Lytechinus pictus: one gene and its partner. The protein of the gene in region 2 purifies or fractionates together with the protein of the main gene of each other region. This does not show direct contact. Links are inferred from orthologs where the notes say so. Each region holds a gene or a part of one and is shown on either strand. Other genes may lie near its edges.

Region 1 (7,585 bases), on a different chromosome or scaffold from region 2:
TAGAATTTTTGGGGTGTTTGTTGCATTCTCACTCTTTCTCCATCTCTCTCTCTCTCTCTCTCTCTTCTTTCACCGTCTATATGACTTGCCATCTTCCTATAATCTTGGTAAAGTTATGAAATTTGAAACACCAGTTTACATTGACTAGCACACTCGATTGGTGACAGCCACATCATGTACATGTTGGTACTTGACAGGTGAATGAACTTTCCTACACAAAGATTACTTCTGTGGAAAAATCATTATGAACAAAATACAATTCCTGTATTAAAACAGTAAATAGGAATGAGCCTTATTTTTAGAGCAGCACCTCTTCTGACAATAGGAAACATTTTATATCTAAGACTAAGTTAATCAGTCGGTAGCTGACCGTTATAGGCAACAGAAAATACTCTGGGCCTTTCTGGTTAAAGTGGAGAGCTGGGATTCGAACTCACAACCTTTTGATCGAGTCTAAGTGCACTAACCAAACAGTGAGTAGGACTCAGTCATAATGGTGGTGGTTCGCTCAACTCAACGCTGGAGAAAAGGACTGAACGACCAAACCAAACGATCTGCTCGTGCGTTCCCAAGACTTAGGTCGCTAATTTCAGTCAAGATTTACAAGTCTATCTCAACTGCAATATTATTTAACAAACAGACCACAGCTAACAATACATGAGCTGCTACACTCCGAGTCCTACTACCTAACCCAGGGAGCTCCCGCCCGCACAGGGCTGACCGTGTATTTTACCATACTCACGGGACTAGGGTGATTTATGGTCTAAATATTTCTCCAAATGAATTGTGAAAACAGAAATTATGCACTTACCACGATCATATGGATGAAGGTCTAACGAGTGGCAGTTTCCTGACATCTGGGCACAAACTGGAACCTCAAAAAAACGAAAAGTTCTCTCTTTCTACCCCAGTCTCGATCGGCCATTTTGTTACAATTCATAACAAAAATGGCCGATCGAGACGGGGGTAGAAGGAGAGAACTTTTCGTTTTTTTGAGGTTCCAGTCTGTGCCCAGATGTCAGGAAACTGCCACTCGTTAGACCTTCATCCATATAATCGTGGTAATTGCATACTTTCTGTTTTCACAATTCATTTGGAGAAATATTTAGACCATAAATCACCCTAGTCCGGTGACTATGGTCAAATACACGGTAAGCCCCACCCATGGGTTCATATCATCTCGCGTGCGAAGGAATATCAGTCATATGCACGCGACACACACGACAAGTCAAAAAGATAGTGGGCTTTTGCCCACATAAAATATCACCAATAATCTGGTATTTCACATTCTGCTATGACACTTACCGAATCATTTAGATCCTTCCGTGACTTCTCCTTGAAGTTTTTTCTTAAAAATATGTATATTTTCTTGATCTTTAGTGAAGATTTCACGGATATAAAATTTGGTCAGCGTAGATATCAATTTTCGCCTAAAGAGGGCGCGCGATTTATATTCATATCAAAGACACGACAAGGGAAAGATTAGGAACCTACACTATTTTACACGCAAATCGACGCAAGGCATTACGCGAAGTCCGTGAAGTGTCCAATCTTTTCATTGTATAGACTTTGGTATACCGTGACGTTCGTTAATACTGCTTGGACTGCTGGTTTCGTTCCAGGCATGTGTATTTAAAAAAAAAAAATTATATTAGTCATCGTTTTAAATTAATTGCAACAAAAGTGTTATCATCGCCAATAGTAATCCTGAATTATGTTTTTGAAGGTATTTTATTTATTGGTGCCCATAATTAGTAAATTAATCATAAGAATTGCGCATTCAAAGAATTTAGACACAGTTATAAAATTACCGAGGAGCTGAATCAAGGTTGTGAAATTTATTAGCGCCACCAACGGGCTTCCTTGTATTTCCGTAGAAGAGACAAACGAAGTCACTTGCTAGGCCGAGGTAAGCGAAATTTGCTCTTTTTAAATTAAATGAGTTAAATATGATATGTATAATTTTGTTATGTATTGCTACTTACCGGAAAGAGCCCCGGTGCGTAGCGAGAAGGAGTTTCGGCAAATATTACTTCAGCAATGAAGCAATGTTTGCCGACTACTTCAAAATCTACGGTCAAACACGGTCCGGTGTACGAGGTTTGTATATATATACGAACCTCGTATTAGTGTGAGTGGGTAAGCCCCTGGCCTGGGCTCCCGCCCGCGCAGCGGGCGGGAGCTCCCTGGGTTAGGTAGTACTAGTAGTAGGACTCTGACTAGTGTAGCAGCTCATGTATTGTTAGCTGTGGTCTGTTTGTTAAATAATATTGCAGTTGAGATAGACTTGTAAATCTTGACAGCTCCCTGGGTTACCTACTTTACTACCATGACTACAGCACAGGGAGTACAGCATAGACATACATAGTCTTGACTTAAGAAGTTAAGGCTTTAGTTTAAGCCAGGCCCAGGATCTCAATTTTAATACAGCCATAACTTTCTTATCGCTTGTCTGATTTCTTTCAAACTTTCACCATTGTTTTTTTATTAATTTTTCTCCTTTCCAACCCAACATTTTACGACCAAGGCTGGATTCCCCTTTAATTAATCGGCCGGTGCGAAACTGCATTAGCGCCAAGAACTTCTGCTGCAGCAGCATGCAGCTCACACGCGGGCCGCGCCCGAGCTCCGCCTTTTTTTACCCTATCGCTCCGTGCAAACAGATGGATGGATGCGCGACCGATCCCGGCCCGGTGAACGCGAATTCGGACGCTAAAACCTGGAAAAAATACTCGTACCGGTACCAATACTGATTATCGACGACCATATTTAAAAACTAAAATCATATGAATCAATACAGATTGGGATTTTTATTTCTTATATAAAACAAATCACTGAGCAATGAAACACTCACCAAATGTCGAAAATTCTGATGCAATGACATGTGTATATCCAGTACACTGGCAAGCGCTAAGGAGTCTAGTTTCAAAGATAGGGTACCGACGTACCGTACCGTGTGTGTATTTGAGGTTTGTCAGACGTGTATCAATCAGATATGATTATTTACGTCTGGACCGACCTTTAACGTCACCGTCGAACCGAAAGACGTGACCAGGGCTCGAAGCCTCGAACCTCTGCATCAATTTGTAACTTCCCCCACTAGTAGACTTGTTAACTGCAAAAAAAGGGGTGAACGCTGCATTTTTTAGTACAAATGTCCCACTTGGCACAAATGTTCCTTGAGTCAAAAGAAAAAGATTCATCCAAAGAGACACGCTGTATCTATGCAAATAAGCAAGTAATTTGCATAAATTTGCATATTATGTCGATATAGTAAAAACAAGTATTTCAGAATATATTTTTAACCAGAACTGCCCTAAAATTTGAAATAAAGACTTAGGGAAAGAAAGGGAAGAAAATTGTCATAAAATAATTGGGATATCCTTGTTTATTATTACCTAATTTACATAAATTATGCAAATTATAATTTAAAACAAAGTATTTTTTCATGAATCCTGAACTGTTTTGTAAATAACAGCAATTAATGCACAAGATCAACATTCTACATGAAAGAGAATATATTAGCGAAAACATCGATATGCTTCATGACAGTATTAGTGTCTTAATTTGCTTAGAAAGAGGGCAAATATGTCAAAATGTATGACGTGATATTGCGCTAAAACGAGACCAAAACAACCTCTATGTCACAGTCACACTCACGAATCGGACAATAAAGCGATCAATGGTATGTCATTCGAGATAACACAATCTCAACACAATAGCTTCCATCGGCTTCTCGTATCGCTTTTGTTGGTGTGTCTGCCACACCGTAATCTATGGTATATACGGGCAAAATGCATTTCGGTATCGGTAAAACACTATTAATTTTGTTTTATTTGTTTCGAATTGGTTTCTCTTGGAAAATTTACAGGAGACATTGCTTTGCAGGTTACTGCTTTAATGAAGCTCTGGCACATGAATCATGACGAATGTACCCCACCTCAATCCATATTTTAACTTTGTTAAAATATATATCTTTTGGAGACCCCGAAGTGGCAAAACTGCATTCCCCGCGGCATTCCCGCTACTTTACAAAACCAGTTTGACTTGTATTATCGACTTGGAAAAGACAGATGTATGAGACATCAGTTAACATGTTTCCAGAGGATGTTTTTTTTTTATTATTTAAGCCTACGTCCATGGGAGCTCTCCGAATTTACCCCATCCCCTCTCTGTATTTCGACACTAAATAATAAAAAAATCGTGTTTTAAAGCCACCGGCAAGGCAAATTGCGTTTTTGGTATGATAAAGCAACTTTTATATCTATATTTCATATTTATCTATATTAATATCATTATTATAATTAATATTATTATTATTATTATTATTGTTATTATTATTATTATTGTTGTTGTTTTGCAGTTTTTAATAATGCTCTAGCACAGTAAAGGCTATAACCCAACAGGAGCATGCCTAGGATACCCTTTCCCCTTATGGTTTTATGTATTCAAAAATAGTTTATTGTCTTTATCTTTAGAACTCATATCTTGGAATAGATTGAGGTGAAAATATTCTACAATTGACATGTAGAAGAGCTGTGGTACATTGAATAAAAGCCACACGTAAGCTCTAAAATACCCCTTTATTGATTCCACTCTATGTTAAATTTAAATATTTTTAGAGTCCATTCGGAAGAAAGATACATTTCTACTACACACAGTAAAGCCTCTTTACTTTCTCCTCTTGAAAAAAAAACATAGAAGGCATTGTTTTATATCGCATAAAATAAGTTCGTGTACATGACGGTGGCCTGTCGAAGTTGCCCAACCCTTTATTTTGTTTTGACAATATATATTTAGAATATCGTCTAAATGAAGCCCTCATCTGGAAAAGGGCACATATTAAAGGCAGCATCTACATTATATAGAGGAGGCCCTGGTACTTGGAAGCGGGGGCTGAAGCACCCGCAAGATTTTTCTGAAGGGGGGGGGGGGGGGAGGGGGCTGTGCTGCGTGTGTTATTCTTTATAGACAGCACCCCCTGGAATTCCGGCAGATGTGACAAAACGAAAAAAAGAAACGTTACAAAAAAAAAAAACTTCATTTTGTAGTGCAATCCATTTTGTTTATTTGCTTGTTAAATTTCTTGATGTAAATTTGAAAAGCAAAATAGTTTCAATGTAAAATTTTGGTCCGAAGAAATTTAATAAACTTCAGCCCCCTCTTCCCAGTGCCATGGCCTCCTCTATATAATGTAGATGCTGCCTTTAATAAGTGCCCTTTTCCAGATGAGGGTTTCATTTAGACGATATTCTAAATATATATTGTTGAAACAAAATAAACGGTTGGGCAACTTCGACAGGCCACCGTCACGTACACGAACTTATTTTATGAGATATAAAACAATGCCTTCTATGTTTTTTTTTTTTTTTCAAGAGGAGAATGCAAAGAGTCTTTACTTTGTGTAGTAGAAATGCATCTTTCTTCCGATCGGGCTCTAAAATTATTTAAATTTAACATTGAGTGGAATCTATAAAGGGCTGTGTGGCTGTTCTTCAATGTACCACAGCTCCTCTACATGTCAGTTGTAGAGTATTTTCTCCTCAATCTATTCCAAGATATCAATACAAACAAAAGTAATCTTTTAAGAGTTCTAAAGACAATAAACTATTTTTGAATACTTAAACCAAAAAGGGAGAGGGTATCCTAGGCATGCTCCTGTTGGGTTATAGCCTTTACTGTGCTAGAGCACTATTACAAATGGCAGAACAATAATAATAATAATAATAATAATAACAGTAATAATAATAATAATAATAATATTAATAATAATTATAATAATATCAATAATGATGAATGTAAATATAAAAATATAGATATAAAAGTTGCTTTATTATACCAAAAAACGCAATTTGCCTTGCCGATGGTTTTAAAACACGATATTTTCTTTATTTAAAGTCGAAATACGGAGAGGGGATGGGGTAAATTCGGAGGGCTCCCATGGACGTAGGCTTAAATAAATAAAAAAAACTTTCTTCAGGAAACATGTTGACTGATGTCTCATACATATGTCTTTTCCAAGTCGATTATACAAGTCAAACTGGTTTTGTAAAGTGGCGGGAATGCAGGGGGATGCAGTTTTGCCACCTCGGGGTCTCCAAAAAGATATATATTTTAATAAAGTTAAAATATGGATTGAGGTAGGATACATTCGTCATGATTCATGTGCCAGAGTTTCATTGAAGCAGTAACCTGCAAAGCAATGTCTCCTGTAAATTTTCCAAGAGAAACAAAATAGAAACAAATAAAACAAAATTAATAGTGTTTTACCGATACCGAAATGCATTTTGTCCGTATGTATCATAGATTACGGTGTGGCAGACACACCAACAAAAGCGATACACACTTAAAAATAGGTAGTCAAATTTTGACTAGTTTGGGTGGTCATTTCAAAATAACCCTGGATGTAGTCAAATTTGACTGCATATAGGGTCAACCTTTCACTGTTTACTTTGCCTATTGGCTTTTTGACTGCGCCGGAAGTTAAAAATGACTAGGTGTATGAAGTGGAAAAATAACTTGCCTAAAGAGTCATCATCACAATGACTGCAATGCAAGTTGAACGGCGGAGGGATATATTACTGTGTGCAGTGTTCAATAATCAATAGTTATTTTGCTAATACTTGTAATGTTGTAATAGCAAACAAATTTAATCAGTGTGAAAGAAACAACATTTTAAAACTTTCCATGTATTTCACTTCATTTGCGTTGTGATATATATTATTTTTATCAAAGAACTATTTTACTTCAGGTCGAATCACTCAATGTATGGTGAGTATGATTTCGAATTTCCCGGCCGCGCCGCCGCGTCTCAAGTTGCGAAATTTTTACTGCAGTCTTGCATGCGACCGCTTGGTGTTGATGATGGAGAGGCTCCTAAATAAGTGGGGATTAGGTGGTTTAGTTGCTGTGTTTGAAGGTAAGAAATTTGTCTTGAGTGTCAAACATATTTGTGTCTTTACTACAGGTATGTAAACTTACATGATTGTAGTATTTCGTTAAGCTTAAGTAATTTCACAAAATAACACGTTGACATTGGCATTGCCATTGCAGTGCATGGCATCATGTAACCCAGAGAGCTCCCGCCCGCTGCGCGGGCGGAGCCCAGAATCTAAGACTTAGACAAGTAACACTTAACATAACAGACATTAATGCTAAGTCAATCGTATTTCAACACTGATTATTCTGAAGTAAAGCGTTCCTGAATAAAAGAAACTGCTGAGAATTATACTTATTCATATGAAGATGAAATAGAGGGGACGGACTAGGCCTAAACTTCAACTTTCAAGCTTGAAGTTTGGGCCTAGTCCGTCCCCGCTATTTTCATACCCCATGACTACATCGACAATCTCGCTAGCCGGCTAGCACCGGCGATATCAAAGGCCGGATCCCGCTCTGACCATATCCCTACATTGACCTAAATTTGAATAGGCCTAAAATCGACAGTTTGTCGTTACTAAAAAACAGGAGGTCGGAAACAAGTCCACATCTACCCCTGATAATTGTCTAATCACAATAAAACTGAAATAAAGGTTTACTTTGGACCTACATGAAGCATTCCGATGAATGTCTAGATCTACGACAA
Region 2 (8,122 bases):
AGGTAAGTGAAAATTATTTGCTTGGCTTTTAATTATATTCCAGTCAGAATAGACTGTTGCCACAGCTGTTAAAAAACATTCGTAATGGCTTCTTAATTTTCCCCTTTTCCCCATGTTTATATTAATTTTGTTTAATTCATTTTTCTTTCATTTTTTTTTTTCTCTCTAATTTTTTTTTTTCCCTGTTCTTTGTTTTTTCTTTCTTCATTTTGTTTCTTTTGTTTTATTTCACTTATTTCTTTTATTATTTTTGTTTTCTTTTTGTAATATACTTTTTGAAAATTATTTTCATTTGTTTCCCCCTTTTATGCATTGTTCTAATTTTGCAGCATATTTTTCTGTGATTTTCTCCTGCTATAATATGCTGCAAAAGAGAAAACAGAAATAAACTGGATTTGGGGCCTGCATAATCTAGGTTTCAGGATTCAAAGAGGAAGAAATGAAAAACCATTGTTTTGTACATCTATCTGAGTTTGCTATGCACTATTTATTTACTTTACCATTATGAGTGTGTCTGTGTGTGTCTATACGGAGATAAAAAAAAAGTCCACACAACCTGCGAACAATAAAATTCATTTATTCTCTTTCAATCATTTCATTTTTACAACGATAGAAACAATTAATATTTTACCACAAACCAATGAATTAGCAAAGTAAAATAACAGCAAACAAGGTTTACATACAAGATGATAAAGTGAAAGTAACTTAGTGGTAGTGGCTGCAGAATTAATATTTCAGAAGTTTGTTTTATTAATTTTTAATGTTTTTCTTTATATTTTTCGGGCCACCAATATCGGGCCACCACCAAAAAAAGTTAATGTGGAGCCTTGTTAGTTTTAGTAAGGAGTGATATTATTATATTGTATTGTTTATAAGAAATATGAAAGGATATGCTTGTACAAGTCTAATGTGAAAAGAATATATATATATATATACATAATAATGTATGATATAATATATACAAAATGATATGTTCTGCACATATAACTAACAAAGCCCACAAGTGTTTTCGCCTTGTTGTTGTTGGTGTTGTTTAAAAAAAAAAAGAAACAAATTATTTTAATGTTTAACCCATCTGTAAGCACAGGCACACTAGCGCCCCCTCGTCTATGCATGGGTGACCTAGGCATTTTTATGTCCGAAAAATCGGCACAATGTACCGTGCTGACCGGTATGATTGCATCTTAGAAAGGGCAGGGCAAGCGCAACTAGTTGGAACTGGGCTGAAGATAGCGGTTTGTTTTTGGTGAAGATTTGTTTATATGCCATTTTGACAAGAGTTAAGACAAACTTTTGTAGACCGGTATACTATATTCATCATTTTTATAATAGAAGGATGCACAAGAAAAATATTTCATATATGTATACATCATATTGGTAATAATATGAGAAGTGAGATTTTATAGATAAAGTCAATGGCGACAATAGTCAAATATGACTAATTGCCACTCAAACCAACATAAGAAGAAGAAGAAGAAGTTATATCATAACCTGTCCTTGTTCACTGAATGAGTGGGTGCATATCATATGGAGCTCTTGCCGCTAGACCAAAAGCTTCAGTCTCTGTATTTTGGTTGTTCCGCTAAACTACGTTGGCTCCACTCACCATACATAGACTGAAGGGGATGGGGCCCCGTACCTACAGCCAACGTATAGTGAACTAGCGTTTTATAGATCGCGATTTAAAACTGTTTTTTAAGCAAAATTGAAAGTTTCATGGTTTCCATTATCAGGGAAATATAAATAACTTAAGTAATTGCATACCTTGGGCCGGAGTTATTGAAAAAAATCCTCTGGATGATTGAGAAATCTGTCATCTAAGACATTTTCACCTGACCTGACGGTTTTTCTTGCAAGTTGCCATCTTGAATGACGTCATTATCGTTATTAACTTAATGTCTCGAATCGATATGTCGCGATTATAACTAGTACTAGTACTAGTATAACTAGTATCGTTTATCTTCGGTTTCGATCGCATATGGAGCAGATCGTATAATATCGAAAGCAATATCGATATCACATTCGTGATTGTTGACGTTCGTTTGTAAATATTTTATAGTTTGGCTGCCATTTTGACAATTTTTATCGTGTTCAACCCAATTAAACATCGGTAAAGTATATTTTTCATGCCTTTTTCATCTAGGCCTATATCGTTTAAAGTATTTAAATATTAAAATATTAAATTTTAAGTTTGTTGTTTATACATCCTTAGATTGTAAATTCGATGTGTAAAATTACATCAAACTTTGGACTGTGAATTGACAAAAGGGAGGGAATGAGAACACATGCGAGCCCACACGTACACCCTACCGTCGGTAAATGGGGATTACAGTAAAATGTCAGAAATTGTTGAATAAATCCCCAGAAACGACGGTTATTCCTGTCTATCTTGCCGCATGCTCTGAATAGATCAATATTGGATTATTGCTATTGTTTCCAAGAGGAAGAGAAGAATCACGTGGAAATATTCCCATCCGCCACCCTTGAGCCCTCTCCAAACTCCCCTCTCTCATTTTCCCCAATATGTTTTATACACAGTCGCGTGCCGATATGCGAAGGTTTACTTACTCAACGCTATATTGGGCGCCCTTCTTCAGGAGCATTTTTCGGGCGTTTGGGAGCGTTTCAAAAAATCGCCGAAGTGTCCGATCTTCCACTTGTAGTGTAGTATCTTTGCTTTATCCTATCAAATCATTTCAAAGCAATTTCTACTGATTACATCTTTGCAAGAAACCCCGATATTACCAATCACAATTTGTTTTTTAAATTCCATTAACCTCATATAAGGATGAAAATAACTCACCTCTTTCTCTCGAAAGCTGGTCGCTGTTCAACTCGGGTTACTCAGCTCAGCACACACGTGTGTATATATTACTATATCGTTCAGAAGTTAAGTCTGAAGTTAGAGACTATGAATTTTACAATGGACAATTATAGCTTGATGCGGTGCTTAATTTTTTTTATCCATATGCCCAGCAAATAGTTCGAACGTACAGTATCATACAGACGAAAAAATGATCAATCAATTACTAGTAACCTTTCACTCTCTTCAAATTTTCACACGGTTTCATCATCTTTCAGATACCATTATTGGTAACTTCAGTTTTGCCCTTTAAATCTATGGTAGCTTCAATGTTACAAAATACATGTATTGTGTTGTGGAATTCACGGGTTTTTATGAAATGTGAAAAACCCTGCTTGCTTCGACAAGCTAGGTTCTAATATTTTTAAGTATGACATTTGAGGGGGCGAGATATGGCCTTTCGGGCAACATCTTGAAAAAATTTTTTCTCTGACCAAATTTGCTTTTGACCGCACAGAAACATAGCCCTAACAATTCGCTAACAGAGGCCCTGTTACAACCGGCAATGTGACAGCAATGCGTAATGTTACATCAATGCATTACTCCCATTACTCACACATTGAAATAGATGTTTTTACTGCACAATCCGAAATATGGGACTGGGTTTACCGTTTACTGCTATAGTGGTCTGTTAGGCTAACAACGTTTCTGTGCAGCGTGGTGTTTCGAGCTGCTGCCAACTTTTTTTTTTTTTTTTTTTTTTTGGGAGGGGGCGGGGGCGGGGGCGGGGGGGCAATTATGCCCAAGGGTCCCCCTCCCTGTTTTAGTCAAACATACTTATCAGAAATCACTTTATTCAAATCCAGACGACCTAAAACTGAAAGTTTTTTTTTACTGAATAATATCATATGGGTATAGTATAGTTATACAACACATATTTACCTCTTGTTTCCATACTTTTCCTTCTTCCCCACCTCGAATGGGGATATTGTGAACATATAGGCCCTACTTTTTTGTTTTACTTTTATTCTTCATTTTCTCTTACCCTCATTTTTTTTTCTTCTATTACATCATCTTGAAAAGTAGCAGCTGCCCTTTGCCACTTCCCAAATCCTTATTTTGATGAAATGCATCAATTCATTTTTCTTCTTAATTCAAAGTTCTGATCTCATGCCAAGTTCCCGGGCCAAATTTTCTTGCTGGAAACTATGTAAATGCCACCACATGTTGAATCACCATTTTTGTCACTATTATACCACCCAGTTCTGTAAAAGTGTGATCCCAGCCATGGAAACGGGCCCTTTTCATGGAAATTTATTACCAAAACAGCAGAAAAGATGAACTAAGAGCAATCAACTATATAGTGGCATTATTTTCGAGAGAGTATGAGTTAAAAAACATACCTTAATTGTATTCGGATTTTTTTATATAAAACAAGTGGAATGCCTCTGGCGGTCTCACCTGCATCACGCGATTCAATATAGCAGCAGTGCCGACTTTGAAAAACACCATTTAAATAATTATTCACAAAAAACACCATTCATATAATGATACAATACAACGTTCATTGACATTGGACCTTGATCATGTGACCTAAAACTTGTCAGTGATACTTAATTGATTACCCCTATATCCACATTTTATGCACTATATCTATAAACTTTGAAAGTTATGACAGCAATCTAATAATTACCTCTAAAATGGCCGAAGTTCAATGACCTTAAATGACGTTTGGTCATGTGACCTGAAACTCGCATGAGATGTTCAGTGATACTTGAAGACTCTTATGTCCAAGTTTTATGAACTAGACCAATATACTTAGAGTTATGATGGTAATTCAATGAATACCCCCAACATGGCCAATATCCATTGACCTTTGACCTTGGTCATGTGACCTGAAACTCGCACAGGATGTTCAGTGATACTTGATTACTCTTATGTCTAAGTTTCATGAGTCAGATCCATAAACTTTCAAAGTTATGATGGTAATTCAACAGATACCCCCATTACGGCCAAAGTTCATTGACCTTTGTCATGTGACCTGAAATGCACACAGGATGTTCAGTGATACTTGATTACTATTATGTCCAAGTTTCATGAATCAGAACCATAAACTTTCAAAGTTATGATGGTAATTCAACAGATTTGGCCAAAGTTCATTGACCCTAAATGACCTTTGACCTTAGTCATGTGACGTGAAACTCATGCAGGATGTTCAGTAATACTTGATTAACCTTATGTCTAAGTTTCATGAACTAGGTCTATATATTTTCTAAGTTATGATGACATTTCAAAAACTTAACATTAGGTTAAGATTTTGATCAATGTTGATTCCCCAACATGGTGCAAGTTCATTGACCCTAAATGACCTTTGACCTTGATCATGTGACATGAAACTCAGGCAGAATGTTCAGTAATACTTGATTAACCTTATGGCCAAGTTTCATGAACCAGGTCCATATACTTTCTAAGTTATGCTGTCATTTAAAAAACTTAAGATTTGGTGTTGACGCCGCCGTCGGAAAAGCGGCGCCTATAGTCTCACTCTGCTATGCAGGTGAGACAAAAAGGGTTGTAAGTTCACATCTCTACTGGCAAAAATTACACTCTTTACTCATTGTTTGTCGTAGGCCTTCATGTATACAGTGGACCCCCCCCCCCCCCCCCCCCATCATTGGCTCAATTTGAATGTTTGTATAAGACAGATGTTACGAACATCAGGCTGGGTAAATTATGCTGCAGCATTGGCAACCTTCCAAGCATTTGACACAAGTCTCAACATTACTGCTCTTGCTATTCCATGTACAAGTCTCCTGCCGATCTAACTTCATGAAAAACCTGTTAAATGTTTATACATTGAACTCAAAACAGAATGCCAATCCTTTTTCGCAGGTCAACAATTTCAAATTAAAGATTTAAAGATGATGAGCTATATTCAAGAATGGATAAAAGCAGGTTTATTGAAAACTAGAATTGCACAATATTTTGTTATATATCGTCATCCCCGATGAATCAATGGGTGTCAAACATTGTCAAGTAACGTTCACAAACATACCATTTTTTCAGCTAAGCCTAACAGAATGGAGACGAGGAATAAAACATTGGTTATGGATGGTATTCTTTGACCCTTTCCATTTGAATCTTGTGGGTTAGATTGGATTAATACAGAGGGCAGTGGGAATAAGGGCTGTGATGTTTAGCGTTTCAAGGCAATTTCTCGTCTGAAACGGATTTTAAGTTAAAATTATTGAATGGACCCATGAACCCAATACCACAATGATTGTTCATTGATGTTTAATGGCACAATATTTCAACATTATGGTCATATTATGCCGCCCTAATGTACACTTGACATAAAGAAAGTAACCCAATTTGTTATTGATTCATTCTCATTTTCAATAAAGAGTATCCCATTTCCTGACATTGTTCTAGTTCATCACTAAACATACTAATTTTCTCATCCTTACTGTTCGTTTTCTCTCTTAAATTCATTTAATTTTCCCTCCCTCATTTATTTTACATTATAATACATTGATTGTAAACATATCACAAGAGTTAAACGTGATAAAATGATAGCACTTTTGTTATGTATGGAAAGATTTTTGCTGCACAAACACCACATACAAATAAACTGACACATCTTGATTATAATTGATATATCTATTTCTATTCATAAGTTACAGAATGAATATATCTGTTTTAATATTCACATGTATGTACAATATAACAATGCATTTGAACAATATCATCAAATAATCATCAGCCCAAAGCAAGCCAAAAAATAAGCATTGAAGGAAAGAGGAACAAAAGACTTAGAAATAACCTTCACAAAATTGAGGACAGTATTAAGTTATTACATTTAATCAAGCAAAATTCATAAAATCTAATAAACACATTGACAAACATTGTAACATGGTAAACTTAATGAAAATTTTGATAAAGTGATAAAAAATAAAACACCTGTAACATTTATGAAAATATTTATTAGAATCATCATCATCCTCCACCTCCTCTTCCTAATCTTAATCATCATAATTACACTTATAAATCAGCAATATTAGAAATGATTTCATCATGGGCTTTTTCATTCTTTACATTATATTGATGAAATAGATGAAATAAAAATGTATTATCAAAGAAACATCTCAATGGCTAAGATGAAAATAGGGCACTATTAAACACAAATTGTTAACTTCACATGTAAATGGAACAATGGGAGAAGTAATAATCTATACATGTCCTGCAGCTCAATACAATTAATTGCTTTGGGAGTATTGTTTGTAAACACAAGTAAACATGACAAAATAAAATATTAAATCTAAGTCAAGATTGAAGTGCATGATGAATATAACAAGTATGAATGAACAAAAATTAATGCAAAGCCTTACAATAAAAAAAAAAATAAATATAAGGGAGAAACTTGGGCACAGACCTCGCCCATATCCCATACAAATATACCTATAATTTAGGATTTAGATATTCAAAAGTTTCAAACTACCAGTAATTCAATTTGTACTTGTTTTGTTCCCATTTCTTTGATATTCATGTACACAAATAACCACATACTTCAAGAAAAAATAAAAATAACATGATATTTTCTTCAAATTGATATCCTTTGGAGAAAATATCATGATATACTGTACATAATATATCATGTATCCATTTCTTCTCAGTCAAGCTAGTCTCAGAAATGTGAGTTTACTGGCTTAACGTCATTATCAGATACACATACTGCAAGATATTCAATAGTGGACCACTCAGAAATATCAACAAATTAAATTACTTCGATAAACAATACTAGAACATAAACAACCATCTTATGATAAAAAAGTAAAGTTATTATCATCTAGCAATTCCAATATATCTAGTATTGCACTTGGATGCAATGGTTATGCAAATTTAAATGTAAAGCTCATTTTTTTATCATTATTACTAACATCTTCTTTTTTATGACACAGCATATTCATGAAACATCATCCCCTGGATCATTACTAACATCAAAAGCTTCATAAAATATATCTTGTTATCTTACATAGTTTTACATAAAATACAGTCCCCATAATTCATCAGAGAAGAAGTGCTTATCACCTTTCATGCTTGGCCTAAACTCAAGTTCCTTGTTATTTAAATATCTAGAAATGGCTTTAAAATGAAATAAAACGTTTGGAAAACCCACACTAAAGCAATAATAACCTTCAGAAAGTAGAACAGCAGAAACAAGTCATCGAGGAATGGAAGACTCTCTGAACATCTGGAAAAAATTTGTATCTGTTGATGTTTCTGGTGGTACCCTATGGCCTACTCCTTGTGACTAGCAGA

Evidence for each region.
Region 1: the proteins of isoleucine--tRNA ligase, cytoplasmic-like (region 2) and leucine--tRNA ligase, cytoplasmic-like purify together in Homo sapiens (affinity purification with mass spectrometry; 7 studies listed by BioGRID and IntAct, counting the BioPlex papers as one, with this or other methods). This does not show direct contact. The link is inferred for Lytechinus pictus from reciprocal best matches to the Homo sapiens genes IARS1 and LARS1.

Annotation. Positions count from the first base shown.
Region 1 is NW_026974140.1:10,269,560-10,277,144, reverse strand, and holds the start of leucine--tRNA ligase, cytoplasmic-like, read right to left. Parts: upstream 3,216-7,585; 5' UTR 2,855-3,215; exon of another isoform or gene 2,739-2,854; intron 2,352-2,738; exon of another isoform or gene 1,986-2,351; intron 1-1,985. UniProt on the Homo sapiens protein: Aminoacyl-tRNA synthetase that catalyzes the specific attachment of leucine to its cognate tRNA (tRNA(Leu)).
Region 2 is NC_087247.1:36,592,592-36,600,713, forward strand, and holds the start of isoleucine--tRNA ligase, cytoplasmic-like, read right to left. Parts: upstream 3,123-8,122; 5' UTR 2,804-3,122; intron 1-2,803. UniProt on the Homo sapiens protein: Catalyzes the specific attachment of an amino acid to its cognate tRNA in a 2 step reaction: the amino acid (AA) is first activated by ATP to form AA-AMP and then transferred to the acceptor end of the tRNA.